Linked DNA regions of Schizosaccharomyces pombe. The protein of the gene in region 2 interacts with the protein of the main gene of each other region in a biochemical or structural test. Each region holds a gene or a part of one and is shown on either strand. Other genes may lie near its edges.

Evidence for each region. The genes of interacting proteins can lie anywhere in the genome.
Region 1: the proteins of epr1 (region 2) and scs2 form a complex in vitro, tested with the Schizosaccharomyces pombe proteins (one study listed by BioGRID).

The regions. Positions count from the first base shown.
Region 1 is NC_003423.3:4,219,632-4,224,670, forward strand, and holds scs2 (VAP family protein), read right to left. Parts: upstream 2,966-5,039; 5' UTR 2,886-2,965; intron 2,751-2,885; 5' UTR 2,736-2,750; coding exon 2,546-2,735; intron 2,276-2,545; coding exon 1,314-2,275; 3' UTR 956-1,313; downstream 1-955. Other genes in the region: mrpl23 (mitochondrial 54S ribosomal protein uL13m), read left to right, coding at 272-292, 335-787; SPOM_SPBC16G5.06 (uncharacterized protein), read left to right, coding at 3,546-4,238; SPOM_SPBC16G5.07C (prohibitin), read right to left, coding at 4,509-4,779, 4,822-5,039.
Region 2 is NC_003424.3:2,423,244-2,428,890, reverse strand, and holds epr1 (ATPase co-chaperone protein), read right to left. Parts: upstream 3,076-5,647; 5' UTR 2,701-3,075; coding exon 2,612-2,700; intron 2,478-2,611; coding exon 1,424-2,477; 3' UTR 1,359-1,423; coding exon of another isoform or gene 1,116-1,358; 3' UTR 924-1,115; downstream 1-923. Other genes in the region: tRNA m(1)G methyltransferase Trm10, read right to left, coding at 1-871; ribosome assembly protein Rsa3, read left to right, coding at 1,116-1,358. UniProt on the Schizosaccharomyces pombe protein: Reticulophagy receptor required for autophagosomal sequestration of endoplasmic reticulum (ER) membranes during ER stress. Confers resistance to ER stress by promoting the autophagic degradation of the ER (ER-phagy or reticulophagy).

The DNA.
Region 1 (5,039 bases), on a different chromosome or scaffold from region 2:
GTAAAGGAGGTTCGTATTATGAATTGAAAAATCAATATTTAAGAAATAATAAATAAAACAACATTTTTGAAAAATAGAAATTTTGTAGGTAACAGTTACCTTACTACAGTTGCTTAGCATCCAATATTTACCCACACCTACAAGCTTGAGGAAACATTATTTGAGCAATTTTCCTACTTCTCTTTTATTAGAAACCACTGATATTGTACTGTCGCTTTAAGAGAAAAATCAGAAGGAACTGAGGATTTTATGATATAGAAATCTCAACGCGATGTCAACGTTGAATGGACAAGTATGAAATTAGTTTGACAGTTTCTTTTACTAACAATATCAGACAGCATTGGCTTACGCCAAAGTTTGGCATCATGTTTCTGCAAAAAATGTTCCTCTAGGTAGGCTGGCTTCCCAAATTGCAACTACTCTTATGGGCAAGCACAAACCCATTTATCACCCTGCAGCAGACTGTGGAGATGTCGTAGTAGTCACTGACTGTTCTGAAATTGGGATTTCTGGTCGAAAACTCGAAAATCATAAATATTATTCACATTCGGGTCAGCCTGGTCATCTTAAAGAGTGGACGATGGAAGAAATGGCTGCGAAACGGGGGCACAAGGATTTGTTGAGAAGAGCAGTTGGTGGAATGCTTCCAAGAAATAAGCTTTGGGATAGGAGAATGAAACGTCTTTATATTTACGATGGAGCTGAACACCCTTATAAGGCAAACATATTTCGTTCCTACCATAATCCTGTAAGTTCGCAAATTGCGAAGGAATTATTCTCGAAATAAGTGTTTAAAATCTCCTTTAATTTTAAAAGGTAGTTCAAAGAACAAAAGCCATATCCCTACTCACTTAAATTTCATTGATTTTTTGCATTAATGTTTGAACATTCCACAATGTCGTATGCCCTAAAAAGCTAACACATTTTAATATTGTTCTTTCCAAAAAAAATTATTTTATATAAATTAATGTTATTGTATTCACTATAAGAAGCTGTAATGTATTTAAAGACACATTTACGTTTGTGAACTGGTAAGAATGAATGTCTGGTAACCATAAGAGGACTACAACTTTTCTTGCGAGTAAAAAGTAGATAACATGAGACGTCGACATAAATAACGACATTTGGAAATTATCTCCAAAGCCAGATAAACGCGCTAAAAAGTACCCTATCGTTGTGAAGAGCAAACAAATTCAACAAACGTCAACCTAAAACCTTGCTTAGCAAAGGCCATATAAAGTAATAAAATCAAGAGCCATTAACTTAGGGAGAAGATTTTACACTTCTTATTAAACATATCTACGCTTTACATTTTAAAAGAAAAGATAGCCAATAAGGAAGAAAATCAGGCAAAGAATGATAACAATATTGGGAGGAATTCCTGGAGATTCGGTTAAAGAAGCACCAGTGGAACTCGAAGGGTCAGCTGAATAAGAGGGCTTGATTTGTTCCAAGGCGTTGTCGGAACTATGAGCACCTGCAGCAGGTTTTGCCCCTTGTAAAGATTCACGAGTTTCAGATCCGAGATTTTCAGAAACTTTTTCAACGGCAGGGGTAGATTCAGGAAGTTTAGAATCGAAATCATTCTTCTTAGTATCAAATTCTTCATTGACAGCTGATAAATTTTGGGGGACGGGAGGAGGGGGGTGGACTGGTGGAGTCGAAGAAACAGAGCGACGAGGGCTTTCTGAAGGCTTTGGAATTTCATTATCAATAATATCTTGTACCTTCGATCTAGCAACATCGGCTCCTTTGGAAGAAGCACTTTCGGCTGTCACAATGGTATCTTTGACAGAAGCAGCACCATTGTCAGCATCAGTAACAACGGTTTGAACTACACTGGCGTCGGGAATTTGTGCACTTTCGAAAGTAGAGCGGAAGGTACTATCTGGAACAACAGTATTAACACCATTGCTTAAATGATCCTTTGCTCCATTGAAGTCATTTTGAGCTTCATCCAAAGACACACCAACCGCCGTAGGGCCGCCGACAGAAGATGCTAAGTTTTCGGAACCTTCAACAGAAACAGGGGGGTTAGAAGTACTAGTGTTCTCAACCTGTTTATCAGCGGATTGAGGAGGTTGCTTAGTTGAATAAACACAGCGGATTTTACGATCAAAAATGGAACGGCCTTGTTTTTCCATTTCAGTCCAAAACTCGTGATAATTTTCGACATTACTGGTATCAGCATCACCGATAGCCATACTTTGAATTAAAAACTTGTCACGACATTTAAAGTCAGGAGCAGGCTCCTCCTTCATAGCTTGAAGCAAAACTAGAATATATGTTAGCCAAGATAATAGAAAAACACTAGAGGCACGTAAAGATAAAAAAAAAAGATGATAGTAGTTTATTCCAAAAAAAGAAGAGCGAAAAACAACAAACTTTAAAAGAATAAAATATAATATCACAACTTTTAAAAGTCCAAAATGTATTTATATCTTATCTAAATATAAAAACATTTGAAAGACATAAAAAAGACTACAAAAAAATAAATGTGAACAGATAGATAGGTGGTTCGCTCCAGAGTAAATAAATTACAAACCTTGTACGTTCACCGTAGATTTTGGTTCAATTTTTCCTGAGTTGGGACGAACACAGTAGTGCTTGGGAGCAGTAGTCTTCACCTTGAAAATGACAGGCTCGGGATTGGGATTATGGACGGAGATGAGCTCCTTCGACATAGTCGTAAAAGGAGGATAGAAAAACAACTCTCCACTACACTCGACACTCATTGTGAATAACTATCTCTATTTAGGTTAATAAATATGTAAAACATTTCAGCACATTATTGGTATTTTGAGATCAGACACAACAACGAGCTCAAGGAATTCGCAAGCGGATGAACTTTCATCTTTTATTTAATGCAAAGTAATAAATCATACCTAAAATATGAAAAGATAAGCGCGTGGACCGCTTCCTAACAAGTTGTACCAAAAATAGGAAACTTCTCAAGTTGGTAGTTGAGTGGTATGCGCGCACCCCATACCTATTTGTGGACGTAGGAAATGGCTAGCAAATGACGGTGAACTCGGTGACCCTCGGTAAATTAATCGGTGAATAGGCTTATTGAACACCATGTAAAAGGCTCGCTACTTTAATTCCGCTATCATATACTGGTTAATTAAATTTCTTATTAATTTTTATTCTTTCAGTTAACCCTCTAATATATGGTATTGTTTAAGGACTTGAAATGGTTAGTATTCAGAATTAATGTAAGTCTTTGCTTGTTCGGTGAGAGATTCAAGTGTAACCAAAATATCACGAACTTCGACTAAGGCTTTTCTTTCAGAGGTATATCTCTTGAGTGATCTTTTCTCTTTTATTTTCATCTGGTAAATACTATCTACCCTAATTCATCACTATCGTTCTCGTTTTTTGCATAACAAACATAGTGTAGCTTGATTTCTACACCCTTGATTCATTTTGCTATTTATTGCGCTTTCCATTTTTAAAACTCCTTTTGCATTGTTAGAAATATTTTCTAGTTAATCATTAAAACTTTTTATTTGTGTGAGGGTAACTCGATAACTTCTTTTAAATCAATGAACATCCGGTCTTTTCTTTTGATTTCAATTTTTACTGCCATAAGTTATCTAGTGGTGGATGGGGCTACTCCTAGAACTTTTGCACCATCTGCCAGTGTCAGTATAAACTATGGTACATTGAGCACCGTATTTCCTAGTTTATACCGAAGGGCCTCAACTTCTTCGAGCTCAAGTTCTTCTTCTATATCCACCAGCCATGATAGTCAACCATCGACCTCCTCCTCATCACCTTCCTCTACTTCGACCAGTTCTAGTTCAGGCACGTCAGTGATTACAGCTTCAGATGTTTCAGCATCAAATGAAATTATTTCTTCCAGCACCAATAATTCTATTCATCAGCAGGTATCTGTTGTGACAGAGTACGTTACCATTCAACCGACTACATATGTTACGACGATATTTCAATACACGTCGCTTGCTTCAACTATTGCTGCACAAAGTGGCATTGCGTCTCTCGTTCCTCAGACTTACACACCCTATGGAGGTGTGAAAGCTCTCATAGGTATTTTGGTGGGTGTTGTGGTTGGTTCTGTGTTTCTTCTTGCTATTGTGATGGTTATTGCTAGGATTTGGGGACCTCGTTTGCTTGCTAACAAAGATCAGAACAATAACAACGAAGATCTCGATAGTAATTTAGTTTCAAAAGACTCGGAGGGAACTCCACAAATCACATACGCTTCAAATTTCTAATTTGTAAGTTTTTTTTACTTGTTTTATTGGCTCTTAATGTTTTGTATACTATTCATTCACGTCTTCTACATTTAATGATAGATTTTGTTTGACGACGCACGCCCAAAGCTTGTTATTTCAATCTTCATCAACTATTGATTTTATTTATAGATTAGTGAAAACAATTTAGTTCATTTTCCACATCATGATAATTATTTTTATAACGGTAAGGCAGATATTGAATGGTTAGTTATGGTGTATTCAGAATTCCTCATTAACTCTTAATGTTTATTACTTCTCGTCAGTATGCAATTCTTTCGGAGTCGATTTATCAGGAGCGGTAGTTTTAGAAACTTGTTTAAAAATAGACAAGGCTTGAGCAACCATACCAGATACATCGCTCGTTGATGCAGGAACAATCATACTGTTGGAAGCTTTGGCCAATTTCCCGAAATTCGTAATATACTGCTGAGCAATGTATAAACTAACGGCTTCCAAACCGTGTTCTTGCTTCTTGATACTGTCAGCTAATACAGCAATGCCAGAAGCAGTAGCAGAAGCCCTAAAAATGTGAGTAATATATTCATATGAAAATAAAGCTTACTTTTCACGAATTGCTTGAGCTTCTGCCAAGGCGGAATTAATAGTTTTTATTTTTTGACCTTCCGAGTCTAAAATTTCTGCTTGTTTGTCACCCTCAGCAACATTGATTGCGGCTTGTCTTTTTCCTTCAGATTCTAAAATTTCTGCACGCTTTTGTCTCTCTGCGGAAACTTGTTGATGCATCGCCATGACCACGCTTTCAGGGGGTCGAATATCGCG
Region 2 (5,647 bases):
ACCTAGTATCCTCAGAAACATCAAACGATTCGTCGCTTTTAAGCAAAATTCCCTTTCTTTTTGGAATGACCTCCATGAATGCCTTTTCCCAATCTCTGTACTCTAACCAAAGAGATAATATTTCAAAGACCTGATTAACCGTAAGTATTTTCCTATCCGTAATTTTAATGTATTCATCAATTGGAAGCTTTGCAGTTTTGATCCCTTGCTCAGACGCTTTATTTTGACATAAATTTTTGTACCGATTCTTGTCGACAATCGCACCAATAATATAAATCTTGTCTTCATCGAGTTCGGTGATGGTGTTATCTGAATCAGCAGAAAGATATACTAATTTTTCTTTTTGGGATTCAAATTCCTCTAAATAAGACTTAGTAGTTGGGTTGTATCGTTTCCAATTATTTTGTTGCCCCTTTAGCACAAAATCTTGTCTGGTTTTCAAACGTCCACCAAAGTTGGTAGCAAAAAGTTCTACAGGATGTAAAGCTGTACGATTTGCAGAATGACATCTAGTAACCTGTTGACATAAAGAGTTGATTTCTTTATCGTTCATCAGATCATCAAATGCACAATCCAAAACAATTCGGATACTACTAGGAACGACCTTTCCTAGTCTGATCCTCTTCTTTTGACTTTTAACTACTTCGCCAGCTTCAATTTTTCGCTTTCTTTCCTCTTTTCGTAATCGCTTTTTTTCCCGGCGCATCTCTGCTCGCTTTTCACGACCTGCATCCCACTCTTGCTGTCTTTTTAATCTTTTTAATGCAGATTTGCTAAGAACGGGTTGCTCTTGAGTTTCATTTTTAGAAACGTCAGCTTCAGAAGTATTTGTGTCATCTTTACCAATATCTAAAGCGTCTTTGTTTTCCATAATTTCCCAACTTTATTGCAGTCAAAATATAGCCTAAATTTATCTAGTTATATCGTTATTTTGAACCTAGCCAGGCTGTTCATCTAATGGAAAAAGTAAGAGTGTTGTGAAGTATAAAAAGTTGGTAACTACGCCAATCTCGCAATTATTAACTTTGGGTAATAAAGGGATTCAGGAAGTCGAAAATAAAAAAATTTTGCAAAATTGTATTATTTACAAACTTCGACAAAACAAGCTTTGAAAAATGGCAACAAACGATCAAAAAATCGATAACAAATCGACGGTATCAAATATGCTTGAAAATCCTATGTTTCAGACATTTTCAAAAAAAGAAACAGAAAAGCCATCACTATCTGAATATATGGAACAACTTACTTCAGAGTTTGGAGAAGAGCTAGACAATTTAAGGCAAAAGGAAATTTTTGATCATAACAAACTACAATTGCTTATTGAAAGTTTGCGTGCTGGTCACAAAATTTATGAATAATGGTTTATATAACTTAGCAAAAAACAGACCTGTATTATTCTATTAAAAAAGATAAGCTTGCGGTGCTAATCTTGATCCAACTTATCGTCTTCGTTCAAAAAACCATCTTCGGATGCTGTATAAAACTCGTTATCAGAGATTTCGACAAAAGTAAATGTTTTTTCTATTTCCTCAAAACTTCTCGTATAGAAGTCAGAGGAAGAAACTTTGTTCGAATATGGGGATTCGCTAGGAGCATCTTCGGGTTGTTTATTCGATTCCGCGTTTTTCTGGGCTTCTTTTGCGTGCTTTTTTATTTCTTGGTTCATTTTCCTTAAATTTTTTTTATGTTTTTTGCTGTTTTCATGGTTCTCCAATTGATTTTGTGATCGAAAGTTCTTGTTACAAACCATACACATTATTGGATTTGAATTCACAATTTCTTTGCTCAAAGATTCATCATCGCTGGATGTTTCTTCCTGATCGATTATTGTCCAAGACGCAATTGATTGGTTTTTAAAAGTTTCCTGGTACTGACGCCGATCACGTTCACTTTGCTTTCGCGATGCTTCTTGTAGGGAGTTGTATCTTTCTCCATCGCTTAGTTTCACAACGTTTTTTCTCCGTGGATCAAGATCACATGCTTTTCCTATTAAATCTCTGACAAGTTCGTTATATCGCTGAATGCAGTATTGTATCTGCCTTTGATTTTGTCTCTTCATTAATCGCCGTGTAGCTGCATCACTTTCCTCTTCTTCATTATATAGAGCTTCCCATTCAAAAGATTTTTTCGTTGAAAATCTTAGCCATTTTTGATAAATAGGTTTGGCATACGTCCAAAGCCAAGTTGTGTCCCCTAAAGTTGGAAGGTCGTCTGTGGAACCCGCTATTTTTTCGTCTTGTCGCAGTCTTTCAACGAACGCTGAGGTGCTTTCAAAAGGGATTTTCTCAATTGTTTGTAGATGCTGCAAAACGTCTTCAATTTGTACAGAATATTGGTTTCTTAGATAGTCTTTTTCATGCCATTTTCGTTTATCATCATTAGAGAGAATATTGTATGCAGCGTTTATTTGGGAAAATATTTCGTTATAGTCTTCAATGCCCGGATTTCTATCGGGATGATATTGCAAAGCTAATTTTCTGTTATGATTAGTAAAGATACACAAAGGCGATCAATTCTTCACAACTTAAACGATTATGTTTTAATCACAGATCGAAAAGCTGTAAATTTATATTCTATGTTGATTGATTAAGTTGAAAACAAGTTTTCATACCGGTAATTTGCTTTAATCTCTTGCAAGTCAGAGTCATGATTCACTTGCAAGATTTCATAGCAATCCATATCCTTAAAAGGGTTATTCATGATTGGTGATAAATAATTTGCATAAAATCATAAGTTAACCAGTAAAAGACTTATATAAAGTAGCTTCAAAGACAAAATTCCAAGGCCGAGGAGTGGAATGAATTATCAACCGCAATTGAGATTGCTTGTGATAAACTAACAATTCAATTCTACAATTGAAATACAAAAAAAGCAAAAAAATTGAGAGTTGCCCGTTCAATCGCCAAAATACAATACCTTCAGTACGTTCTATGTAAAATGGTGATCTTTCTCACAAACCGGCGACAATAGCTCCCAACTGTGTTTCAAAAAATGTAGAAAGAGACAAAAAGGCGAATTGACGAGAAACAACGAATCAAAATACTGTTAATGCTAAAAAATAAAGTAATATGCTATGGGTAAATTAAATCTGTGTTGACAAACCCGCAAATACATAATATGGTGTGGTCCCTCACGTCTCGCCAATGCTGAAGTAAATAAATACAACAAGCGAAACATAAGTTAAAGTTGTGTACGAAATCATTTGAACCCTAAATAAATTTGTGTTCTATACATGCAAACTTTAGACAGTTTGAAATCCGAAAAATCACTTTTGTAAAAAATGAATATATGAATAAATATATATATTAACATATATTGATATATGTATAATCTTAATACAGTTTACAAACTACTGTCTTCTTAATTAAGAAAACATGGTTCTCATGAAAACTTATATTGTTATTTAAGGTCTTGCTGCTATATATGCATTAGCAAAATGCACATTTCCAAAAAATGAAGTTAAAATTATCAGTTTACAAAAGACATTGAACTAAAGATCAAATTTTTCCACAACCGAATTAAAATGTAAGATTGTGTTTTTTAGAAGAAGCCAATGCGCTAATAATAATGCCATGCTTGCATTGCTTAAAAACAAACGAACTTCTTGCCTTCATGTAGCAAGGCTATTATCACGAATTTTCATGTTAATTTCGCTATGAATGCTTGGTCTTTTCTGAGTTAATCAATACTATTTAGCTAAGGTTTCGCTCATATAGAATACGAAAATTTCGCATTTATTAATGCAAATTTCCTCGATGTTTTTAATATATTGTGTTGCTAATCTGACTATATAACACTGCCTCTTCAAGGGACAAATAGTTTTAACAAAATTTGTTTACATTATTGAGTCAAGCAATTACGACCCGATGTTATAAGCATTACGCAGATTTCTTTTACAAAAGGGAGGTCTCTTTCATTTACCCCAAGCTTAGCATTACAAAATCATGTGCAAATGAGAAGACTACTTTTAGGGAAAATAAAAATCTAAACTTGATTGGAAAGCGAAAGTTTAAATCCTAAATTGTTTGAGGTTGACGTGTTAGTTTTTCACCGTAATAAGTAAATAGCATTGTATAATGAATAAAAGAAAAATTTTGATAGTTTAACAATTGCTGCTATTCATATTTTAATAGAATCTCAAAATTCATACTAATCGACTTTCTTATCCTTCTATATTCTTCAATATTTCAAACTCGTTTTAAGTCTCTCCTATAGCTTGGGATTATTCAATGAAATTGTAATTGTCGTCCTTTCCTTTACATTGTGAATACTAAAAAATTGCTTCTTCCAGAATTGTTTTATTGACTCACGGATTTGCAACATGTCCTTCTCCTCTTTTTTTTTTTTTTTTCTTTTTTTTTCTAATCTGTAAAAAAACCAAAATTTTACAATCTCGATAATCCTTTTAATGTCTATAGTCATCAAACACGTTTATCTACTTACTCAATACGATAATGTACAATAATTCCATACGAAACTTGCCCTTATCTGTTTTAGTTTTTTGTGGCACACCGTTAACTAATCGTGAATAAAATGGTTATTACAGTCATAGTCCGGTTTAATCGGATCAATCAAATATAATTAGATACCTACTTATTATCATATACATACAAAATTAAAAACAATACAAAAAAGAGGAAAACAAAGAGGCTCAACTTCTTACCGACTATCCTTTATCTCTCTTTTTTTTTTATTTTTTTTTATTTTTTCTCTTTTGGCACAGTGCTACAGAACATTTGTTCAACAACCCAACTCTGTACGTTTCACACATTGTCAGCAAATTGTTGACAATCAGCACAAGCCTCATTCTATAAAGCTAAGGAAGATTTCGTACCACTGCTGGTCTTCCAATTGCCCCTGCTTCCTTTCCTTTTACTGTAAGGCTTACCGGAAGGCCGTTTACTAATAACATTGCGAACCCGAGTGCGGTTGGGTAGTATTACCTATACCGCAAGTTCCTCCGCTCTTTTTATGACGTCAGGGGGAAATGCTTTGGTTTGCCACCTTGCGTCGTCTAACGCGGTGCAATATAAGGATGCGAAAGGACTGCAAGGATTTTCACCTGTCATGAACCAACAAGGATTTTGACGATTAGTACAGTGTTAAAACTTTTGAAATAGTATCGAAAATTCATTTACTATATGTATAAGTATTAAGGAGTTACGCATCTCTTTACAATTTTAAACACTCACGTACCTTTGGTTGAATCAAGCCAGGCAGGTCTCCGTTTGCGAACGACGGTTTCGGTTGATTCGAAACGTGGTATTAGAAAATCATTTTATTTATTTTCATTCCCATTCCATTTATCTATTCTATCTAATTTCGTCCCATTGTAGCTTGTTGTTTTATCACAAGCAGCTTTTAGGTCTTTGGGCTGTTACTTTTTTCTTCACTTCATTCCATTACTAATATATATATATTTTAATCAAAACGTACGCAATTCAACTCTGCGAAACTCTATCTTGCAAGCTTTCTTTCTCCATCTGCTTGTAATAAAGAAAATACTTAACTCCGATACTTCGATTGCAAAGGTCGGAGCACTCATTTTTATAAAAACCACAAAGCTTTCTCCTTCTTGGGCTTTGGTTTTTTATTCTGTAGTTTTACCGCCTTTCAAATATTTTGATTTCAATCTTTTGTAAAGGTT